2 linked regions of the Bombyx mori genome follow. The protein of the gene in region 1 purifies or fractionates together with the protein of each later gene. This does not show direct contact. Links are inferred from orthologs where the notes say so. Each region holds a gene or a part of one and is shown in the gene's direction. Other genes may lie near its edges.

Region 1 (4,272 bases):
GTAGATCTACATCTTGTTTTTACAGAATTGTTTTGTTGTCTAAGCTTTTTAACTGATTACTTATGAGAAAATTAGATTATGTTAGTTAACCCAGAAGAATTTTAAGTTCAATGTTATTTGATTGTGATTTTACTATAAATACCTAACTTTGAAAAAATATTGTTTTTAATCAGAACTAACTACTTACTAATTGGAAATTTTAATAAAGTTGATTTTAAGCAAATCTAATGTGCTATTTTTCCGTCGTTTTATACCCTTCTACTTACTGGCTTACATAACAATGATAAAAACAGGCCCAAATATAGTTATTTCACACATTACCGGTGGACTGGCAGGTCTATACAATCTTAGGAATTGTATACATTACTTACGTAAAGTATACACGAAAAAGGGTTTTTTTAATTTGTTATCGCATGTTTAATACGTTAATCATGAGTTGACGAGTACAGTTACCGGGTTCCCTACTCCTGGGGGTGTTAGAGCAAAAGGTGTCTAATGCAAGAGTTATTGGATCTGATGGATCCGTAAGAACGTGTCTAGGGCGTCGACGGCGACTGGCTCCGGTGTGATCAGGATTCAGGAAGAAGTCAGCGGTGGCAATGATAAGGCGATTATCATGACGCATAGCCTTATCGAACTATCGTTCCGACACTGACTTCGTCTGTTTCCAGATTGATTCGAGGCCCAGGTCGTCGTGTAGATCAATGTTCCTCACGAACCACCGAGCTCCGATGGCTAGCCTGCAAAGGCGGGATTGTAGCGATTGGAGGGTATTTGTGTGTGCGAGCCGCGTGAGCGACCGAGCGGTGATTCTACGACAGTACCATTCCATTTCTTACCGACGAAAAAATTTACCGATGTATAAAAATTAACATTCTCCGAGCATTTAATCTTCATACAGTGATTATCAATCAGCATTTACTACATTCCTTTATATTACACACTGCTACTATATGCAACGTTCCTTTGCAATACTTATACTTTTATACTACTACAGGTTATAGAAACACGTTTAAAAAAGTGCATCTTATCATATCCGTTACCCGGCATGCAGAAATAGAGCGGAGCAAACAAGGCAATTTGCAGTGAAATTTTTGTCACTTAGTTTTGTATTATTTAGTAATGTTATATATCGGTAGGCAGCGGCTTGCCTGCGTTCCTGGTATTGCTAATGTTCAGGGGTGACAGTAAGCACTTACTGATTGATGGTATGCTAGTATGTCTACCGCGGAAATTAAAAAAAGCCAACATAAAATAAAACTTAAATATGAAATATTTGAATAAGTTTATATAAAGACTGTGAATATGGTAAACGTCATGGATAATATTTTAGGAATAGAAATAAGCGAATTGACTTTATCTCTTTAAAAAAGGGCCTCGAACAAAAGGGTTTTATTGTAAAAGACAAAATATAGAATTTAATTTAAAAAATATTTTGTCTATGGTTACAGGTACTAAAAAGTTCTAGAACCTGCCGCCAAAACGAATTGTCGCTGCAGTCAGTAAATGGACGTTTGATGTGGTTGGTTGTCAAAGACTGTGCTGTTGTGTGTTTACAGTGATTTATTACCCGTTACTATAATCATAATTGCAGTATAAGGTTTTAGGGAGTAGATGAAGGTATGTATAAAATGCTAGATAAAATCTAACGTCTAAATTATAACGTTAAATTGTTATAATGACTTGGCGCTCGCCGAGCCAACTGCTTTGGACTCAATTCATCTCCTTCTTGTCAGCTGTACACAAAGATGCTACGCATTTACTTAGCAATGGTACAAATAATGAATTAAATTGTCAATTTTTTGTCGAAACAGGGTATGCCACACAGACAGTCTGTTCAGTCAGTTTCAAGGAAGTTTTAATGGTCCTTTTCTTTAGGTTTCCTAGTCGTACAACAGAGGTTATGGAACTGTTTTGTCCCTTTTTTACGAAAGAAGATAATTTATCGTATAAAGTGTATCTATCACACCTAATGACCCCTACCGTTGTTACAAAGGTACATTATTTAAAATCAACATCAATATTTTTCTTGAATATTATGTTTATTCTTAAGAAAACAACTGTATCAGTGTTTATGTAGATAAGTGTAAAATGTAATTATAATTAAAAAATAATGTTTATAGATACATTATTGGTTCATTTGATTGTAAAATAATTTAAAATAAATATAAAAGTAATCTTGTATTAATGTGAATGTAGAAACTATAGAAGAATACTAAATACAAATTCAATATCCTTTCCAATAAATTTGGATACTCACACAAATACAGTAGCAATAACAAATTAGACAATACTCAGATATTCAATATTCATAATTTACAAACTTCTTAATGTCCATTTTATTTTCCTGTTTCATATTTTGACTACACTCTTCCATTATGATACAAACTCATTAGTTTAAATTGAGGGTCTTGAATATCTGTTTTTTATATACAATAAATGGTTCAACTATAGGGCTGTATCAGCTGGCAACCAAAATCCTAATCTCTTAAGTTCATAAAACATAATATTGAGGTCAAGAAATCTTAAGTCTAAATCTATCAACACAATGATTCATTTACAAATTCAATACATTACCACTATTCTTAAATTTTTTCAACATTACATTCATACTTATTTGCATTTTACTATCTTCTGAAAATTCCCATAGCATTCCTTGACCATATGGAAGAAGCTGTGTGTAATAGTCAATTTTTTTTTATTGCTTAGATGGGTGGATGAGCTCACAGCCCACCTGGTGTTAAATGGTTACTGGAGCCCATAGACATCTACAACGTAAATGTGCCACCCACCTTGAGACATAAGTTCTAAGGTCTCAGGTATAGTTACAACGGCTGCCCCACCCTTCAAACCGAAACGCATTACTGCTTCATGGCAGAAATAGGCAGGGTGGTGATACCTACCCGTGCGGACTCTCAGGAGGTCCTACCACCAGTAATTCATTATAATACTGTAAAATATGACCTAATGTTAATCTCGAAAACCATTTTATATTATCACATAAATAAATAAACTGTACCCAAAATAATATCAAATGAAGATATTAATATGACAATTATTTAATTCAATATTTTGTTCATACACAAATATGTTAGAATAAAACTATGGCATGTAAAGATTAAATAAAATTAAATTGAAACAAGCATCTGTCTAATATGAATGGAGTAGAAATTGACCTACATTCATCGAATATAATGATCATGAAGATTTGACAATCTTACAATTGGTTTTTTTATTCTTTGGACCTGTTAGATGACATCAGCATGTATCCATTTTGCAGTTGACTTTAACCTATTTATGATTAGCCGCCTATCATGGTAAAAAAACCTAAAGTATTTTCTGTTATTGAATATCATGCCAAATATCCTAAAATCAACATGCACTCTAATTCTGCTTCAATGTGAAGTTTATAGAGAGCTAAGGGATGATCATTATCAAAAAACAACAGGCTCATAATTTTATAATTCATTAACAAGCGAAATTTAACTATTGACTAGAGATAAAAAGTAATCTTTTAATTTCTTTTTATTGCTTAGATGGGTGGACGAGCTCACAGCCCACCTGGTGTTATGTGGTTACTGGAGCCCATAGACATCTACACTGTAAATGTGCCACCCACCTTGAGATATAAGTTCTAAGGTCTCAAGTATAGTTACAGCGGCTACCCTACCCTTCCAACCGAAACGCATTACTGCTTCACGGCAGAAATAGGCAAGGCGGTGGTACCTACCTGCTCGGACTCACAAGGGTTCCTACCACCAGTTAAAATGAAATTCCATTTTAAATGAAGTTATAAATATGATCTATTGCAGAAATGAGTAAATATTGATGTGAATGTTATTCCTGGAACTTTATTGTATGGTATTCAGACATTATCAAAGTAAAGATGAGTGGTAGTTGAAAGGAAAATATTACTAATGACAATTGAAGACAATGAACTGTTATAATGGTTATGATCTCATTCCAGTCGTTGCTCAATAAATGCACTTACTTTTATCATGTAACTTCCTCTGGCCTGAAAACTTAAATTTTTTATAATCCTCCATTAAACATATCCTGCTTAAATTGTACATTAGATTTATTTGACAAGGAAATAAATAAATTACCTTCATCAATAGATTTATAATGAAATAAATGTTAAGATGAAGCTAGTAATGTCTTAAATGAAATTAAAGAAATAGAAAAAACTTGAGATATAAAACCCCATTTAACTGTGACGGATAGCTGATGGTGAGGAAATTAAGAGCACACAGATATTACAAGTTATCACTG
Region 2 (4,270 bases), on another chromosome or scaffold:
TTACAGGTGGGCTATGAGCTCGTCCACCTATCTAAGCAACAAAAAAACATATATGTCAACATAACTAAGGTATCAATCTACTCTATCTAGGTCATAGACCTTTAGAGTAAAAGGTAGAGAAAGAAAATATCTTTAACGTTTATCGATAAAATCTAATAATATTAAAATCTTCTGGGCAGCATTTTTTTTGGTCAGGAGGAAATCGCCGAACTTCCGCCCTCCCCTGGGGATGGAAGGCGGGGCATGTTGGAGTCGAACTGACTAAAACCTCCTGTCGCTCAACAACCCGCGTCCGAACCTCGCATGAGACAGAACCCATGAAAAGGCAAAGGGGGGAAAGTGAAGCGTTTAGTGCGGAGCACATCTCTCCCATCACCCTCCCCCTCGGGACGCCGGACCAGCGGTCGTCGGCGCCACGACCACCAGCCCTCTCGGTCGGCAGGCTATCCGGAGCCCGTCTAGATGGCGCCGGTTTGAATGGGTTATCCTACGGAATACCCCGCTGGGTCAGAACCAGCGTGGGTCGAGGATAACCGGCCTTCCATCACCCGGATGCTTTTGCGTAAAACGCGTGCAGAGCAGCTTGCACGTCGTCTTCTTAGGCCCCCTTCGCCGGTCCCCAGACCGACATATGAAGGGGACCCGAAACATTTAGAGGGCCAGGGCTTGGGCGAGATCCGCCTCCCTGGCCCCCGCTCGACGGCGGCGGGCTTGCGCGTCTCTCACGCGCCCCGCCGCCTCCTTCTGCGAGATGGTGCACTCGCAGAAGTCGAGCATCGCCTTCCACGACTCGTCGTCGCCGAGCATCGATGCCAATACACTCGGCAACGACAAATTGTTTCCTATTTTTGCGACGACAGCACGGTGCACACCCCTCCCATGCGGGGCAGGCGACGAGGGCAGCACTAAAACCGCCTTGTTTAGCGGCCAGATGACGTCACAGTGGCACGCATTTTTTGTTGACGTTTCATTTCCATAGGTTTCATACTTCAGTGATCTAGGTGGAGCAGGGTCATGTCATTGTTTTTAAAATAGAGTCAGATCATTTTGTTAAGTGGCCTCTCTCGGTGACAATAATAATATGACAATGCAACTGGGGAAATTGATGCTATGTGTCATACTAAGCGTATGGCGTAATGTTAATATTAATGAGCAAATAGTTTGCGGTGAATTACGTCCCGATCTAGTAGATTCTGATTCTGGTCCAGCGGACTGTCTTAGAGTATTAGCAGTACCGTCTCAATGGCATAGCCTATCGCTGACTGCACTAGTCGAAGTTGAGTAATTATTGCGGATGAAGTCACCGTCGTATTTATAACACATAAACAAAAAGCAAACAAACTTAATCATCACATGAATGTTTGCCCGATGTGCGTGTCGGACTCATGACCTATTAAAGAAATTAGCTTCTCTATTAGCGAGTTAGTCAATTCAAAGTGATACAACGAAATTCATTTTTAGGTAACGTTTCAATGGTTAACGTCAAACTGTGTACTCGTATATGCTAAGGAATACATACGAATTATAACTTCTCTAGTTATCTGGTTTTAACTAAGCTATTAATTGGTAATTTTGGATCTATAGCTCTACACAGAAATTTAAAAAATGCGTTGCATAGAGTCTGTCGGTAAAAAATATTTTATTCCTAGCAACTCTAGATGAGAGTGTTTGCTCTACCTATTGCGAGACGTCCAATCTCTATCTAGTCGGTGCTCTATGGTAACTCTCTGGGCTGCGGACGTTCACGAAAATTTTCCGAACATGGCACGAAGCAGCAGGCAGCCACTTTGGTTCTTTCGTCATCGTGTGCTGATTACTACTGAAATTTAATTTATAAATTGCTGAGTGGGGTGATAATAATTATGTTGTTTTTATCAAAGTGAACAATAAAATTGGTGATGTTGGGCTTAGGTTTATTATCATTTCGTCAGAAAACTACCAAAGAACACAAGTTCGTCGTAGAAAATCATAAAAAATCGAGAAAGCTTCAAACGTGTTTGAAGCTTTCGTTTTTGCATTAATGGAACTATGAACCTGGACTCTTTAACGTTGAGCTTATCGCATATACATTATCTCGTCGTAAATTTAAACAAGAAAAATTTCAAGCAGACGAGTCAAGAATTGAATCAGGTAAGAAAACTACCATATTTTATCATTCTTTGTTTTCTGTTGTCGCCATATTGTGAATATTGGCAGCCACGAACTCTTCGCCTGTATGTGTGTGTAGCGTCGGGTTGTTCTATTTGGATATGTTATCGATCGTTATCGCTTTAATAAGTGCTCTGCGTTAGTTTCTTGTGGACACTTTTGATTTACATTGAAGCGTTTGCCTGGTGGCGCATCTCCGCGGAATGATGTCCGGAAATCTATAGTCATAGGTGGCACCCATTTCATTTCCTTCAGCATTTCATTTGTTAAACGTCAATAATCTGCTGTACATATTACGTTTATGATTCATTATTAATTTATCTTAAGAATATTTGAAAAAAAAGCTAACCAAATAAAGTTGAATGTTTATTCTTTTTTTAAAGTATGACAATTTTATTATTCATATAAGTAATAATATGTAATATAATAAATAAGTTAATTAATTATAACAAAGGTTAGAAAAAAGAAAAAAATTTGAAGGTCATTAATAATGTGTTGTGCTATCTGTGCTAATGATTCAATACAACTTCTTTAAAAAATCAGTTGCTAAATTTGTATTATCATACTACTTAGAATATAATAGTTATTAAAAATGACGCAAGATTATTTCAACATGAAAAACACGTTAGAAATTACCCCACATCTAGTCTTTATCAATGGTTGTTTCAACAAACTAGCCTAGCAATAAGTAAAATGATAATAATTAAACTAGTAGTAAATTGCGTGAAGCATGTTTTTGACATGTTGCTATTGCAACATTGCCTGAGTGATTTTCATTCCGTTTGGTTGCTCTGTTTTACTTCCGTGTGTAAAGATTCTAGGAAACATGTGTTGGACACTGTTCAGTAAAATAAAGTAGCAAAATACAGTTTTGACAGCAAAGGAAAATAACTGCTAGTATATAAATTGTATTGTGGGTAGACATGTGTTTTTTAACTGTCCTTAATACTGAACAAAGAAGACAGCAAACACTAAGGAAATCAATTTAATATTTACACCACTTTAAGTAAGCAATTACTATTTATTTTATTTCCCATTAAAAATACTGAGTGTTTGTTAGATTCTTGAAATCGTAATATTATTTATTATGTTGATTAGCAGATACCTACATACATATCTACTACTAAAATATGAACTCTGTCATAAGAAGACTTAGTATCTGCAGTAATAGATTTGCCTCTGATATTCTGTTAAATACCAACATTTATTTTGTAAAATATATGTTTGTACCTCATGTCTAATAACAAAATGGTAAACAAGTAAATTATTTAATAAAAAAAACAAAACCACTGCATTTAAAATATTAACTGAAATGCAAAAAAAAAAAACATGTAATGTTATTAATTAGGTTTTAGGTATTATGATATTACAGGTAAGGGACAAACCAGTTGTTCAATTGGTGGTGTTTGAATGGAAACAAATAAATTGTATTTCTTTGCCTGTCCTCAGGCAGGTATTTGAACTTTGAAAACTGCTATATAGAACAAGGACTCTCATAAATGTTATAAATGTGGATATATATGCTTATTCCTGTATGACCATGTCTTTATGTTGAACAAAAATTATCAAGATAGATAAGCTATTTAAATATTAAAGTGAACAATCAGGTCAGGTCAGGTAACTTATTTACTTTTATGAAAAATTTGTTACTTTAATTTGCTTGGTTACCTACTACATTTTACTGATTTTAATAACAATATAGTACTCAAATATGACAAATAATCCAGTACTAATAAAAAATAAATAAGTAGTACTCCATTATCACTACATAGTATAAAACAAAGTCGCTTTCTCTGTCCCTATATCCCTATGTACCTATGCTTAAATCTTTAAAACTACGCAACGAATTTTGATGCGGTTTTTCTTAGTAAATAGAGTGATTGAAGAGGGAGGTTTATATGTATAATAATATCCATTAAATAGTGGACAAATCAATAGTAAATTACAGTTTCTGAAGCGTAGCGAGGGCGGGTCGCTAGTATAGTATATGTAAAGCTGTCTTTTTTGTCACCTGGCTTTCAAAATGAACTTTCCTCCTAAATCTTTTCATGTATTTCTTCAAAGTTCAAAAATTGTTCTCAGTCTTAGAAAGTTGCCTAGTTGTGTTCTTTATGCTCAACTG

What was found. The genes of interacting proteins can lie anywhere in the genome.
Region 2: the proteins of CCR4-NOT transcription complex subunit 6 (region 1) and CCR4-NOT transcription complex subunit 1 purify together in Drosophila melanogaster (affinity purification with western blotting; 6 studies listed by BioGRID, with this or other methods). This does not show direct contact. The link is inferred for Bombyx mori from reciprocal best matches to the Drosophila melanogaster genes twin and Not1.

What each region holds. Positions count from the first base shown.
Region 1 is NC_085112.1:13,066,312-13,070,583, forward strand, and holds the start of CCR4-NOT transcription complex subunit 6, read left to right. Parts: upstream 1-1,472; 5' UTR 1,473-1,620; intron 1,621-4,272.
Region 2 is NC_085107.1:17,975,609-17,979,878, reverse strand, and holds the start of CCR4-NOT transcription complex subunit 1, read left to right. Parts: upstream 1-1,470; 5' UTR 1,471-2,028; coding exon 2,029-2,130; intron 2,131-2,237; exon of another isoform or gene 2,238-2,378; intron 2,379-3,043; exon of another isoform or gene 3,044-3,154; intron 3,155-4,270.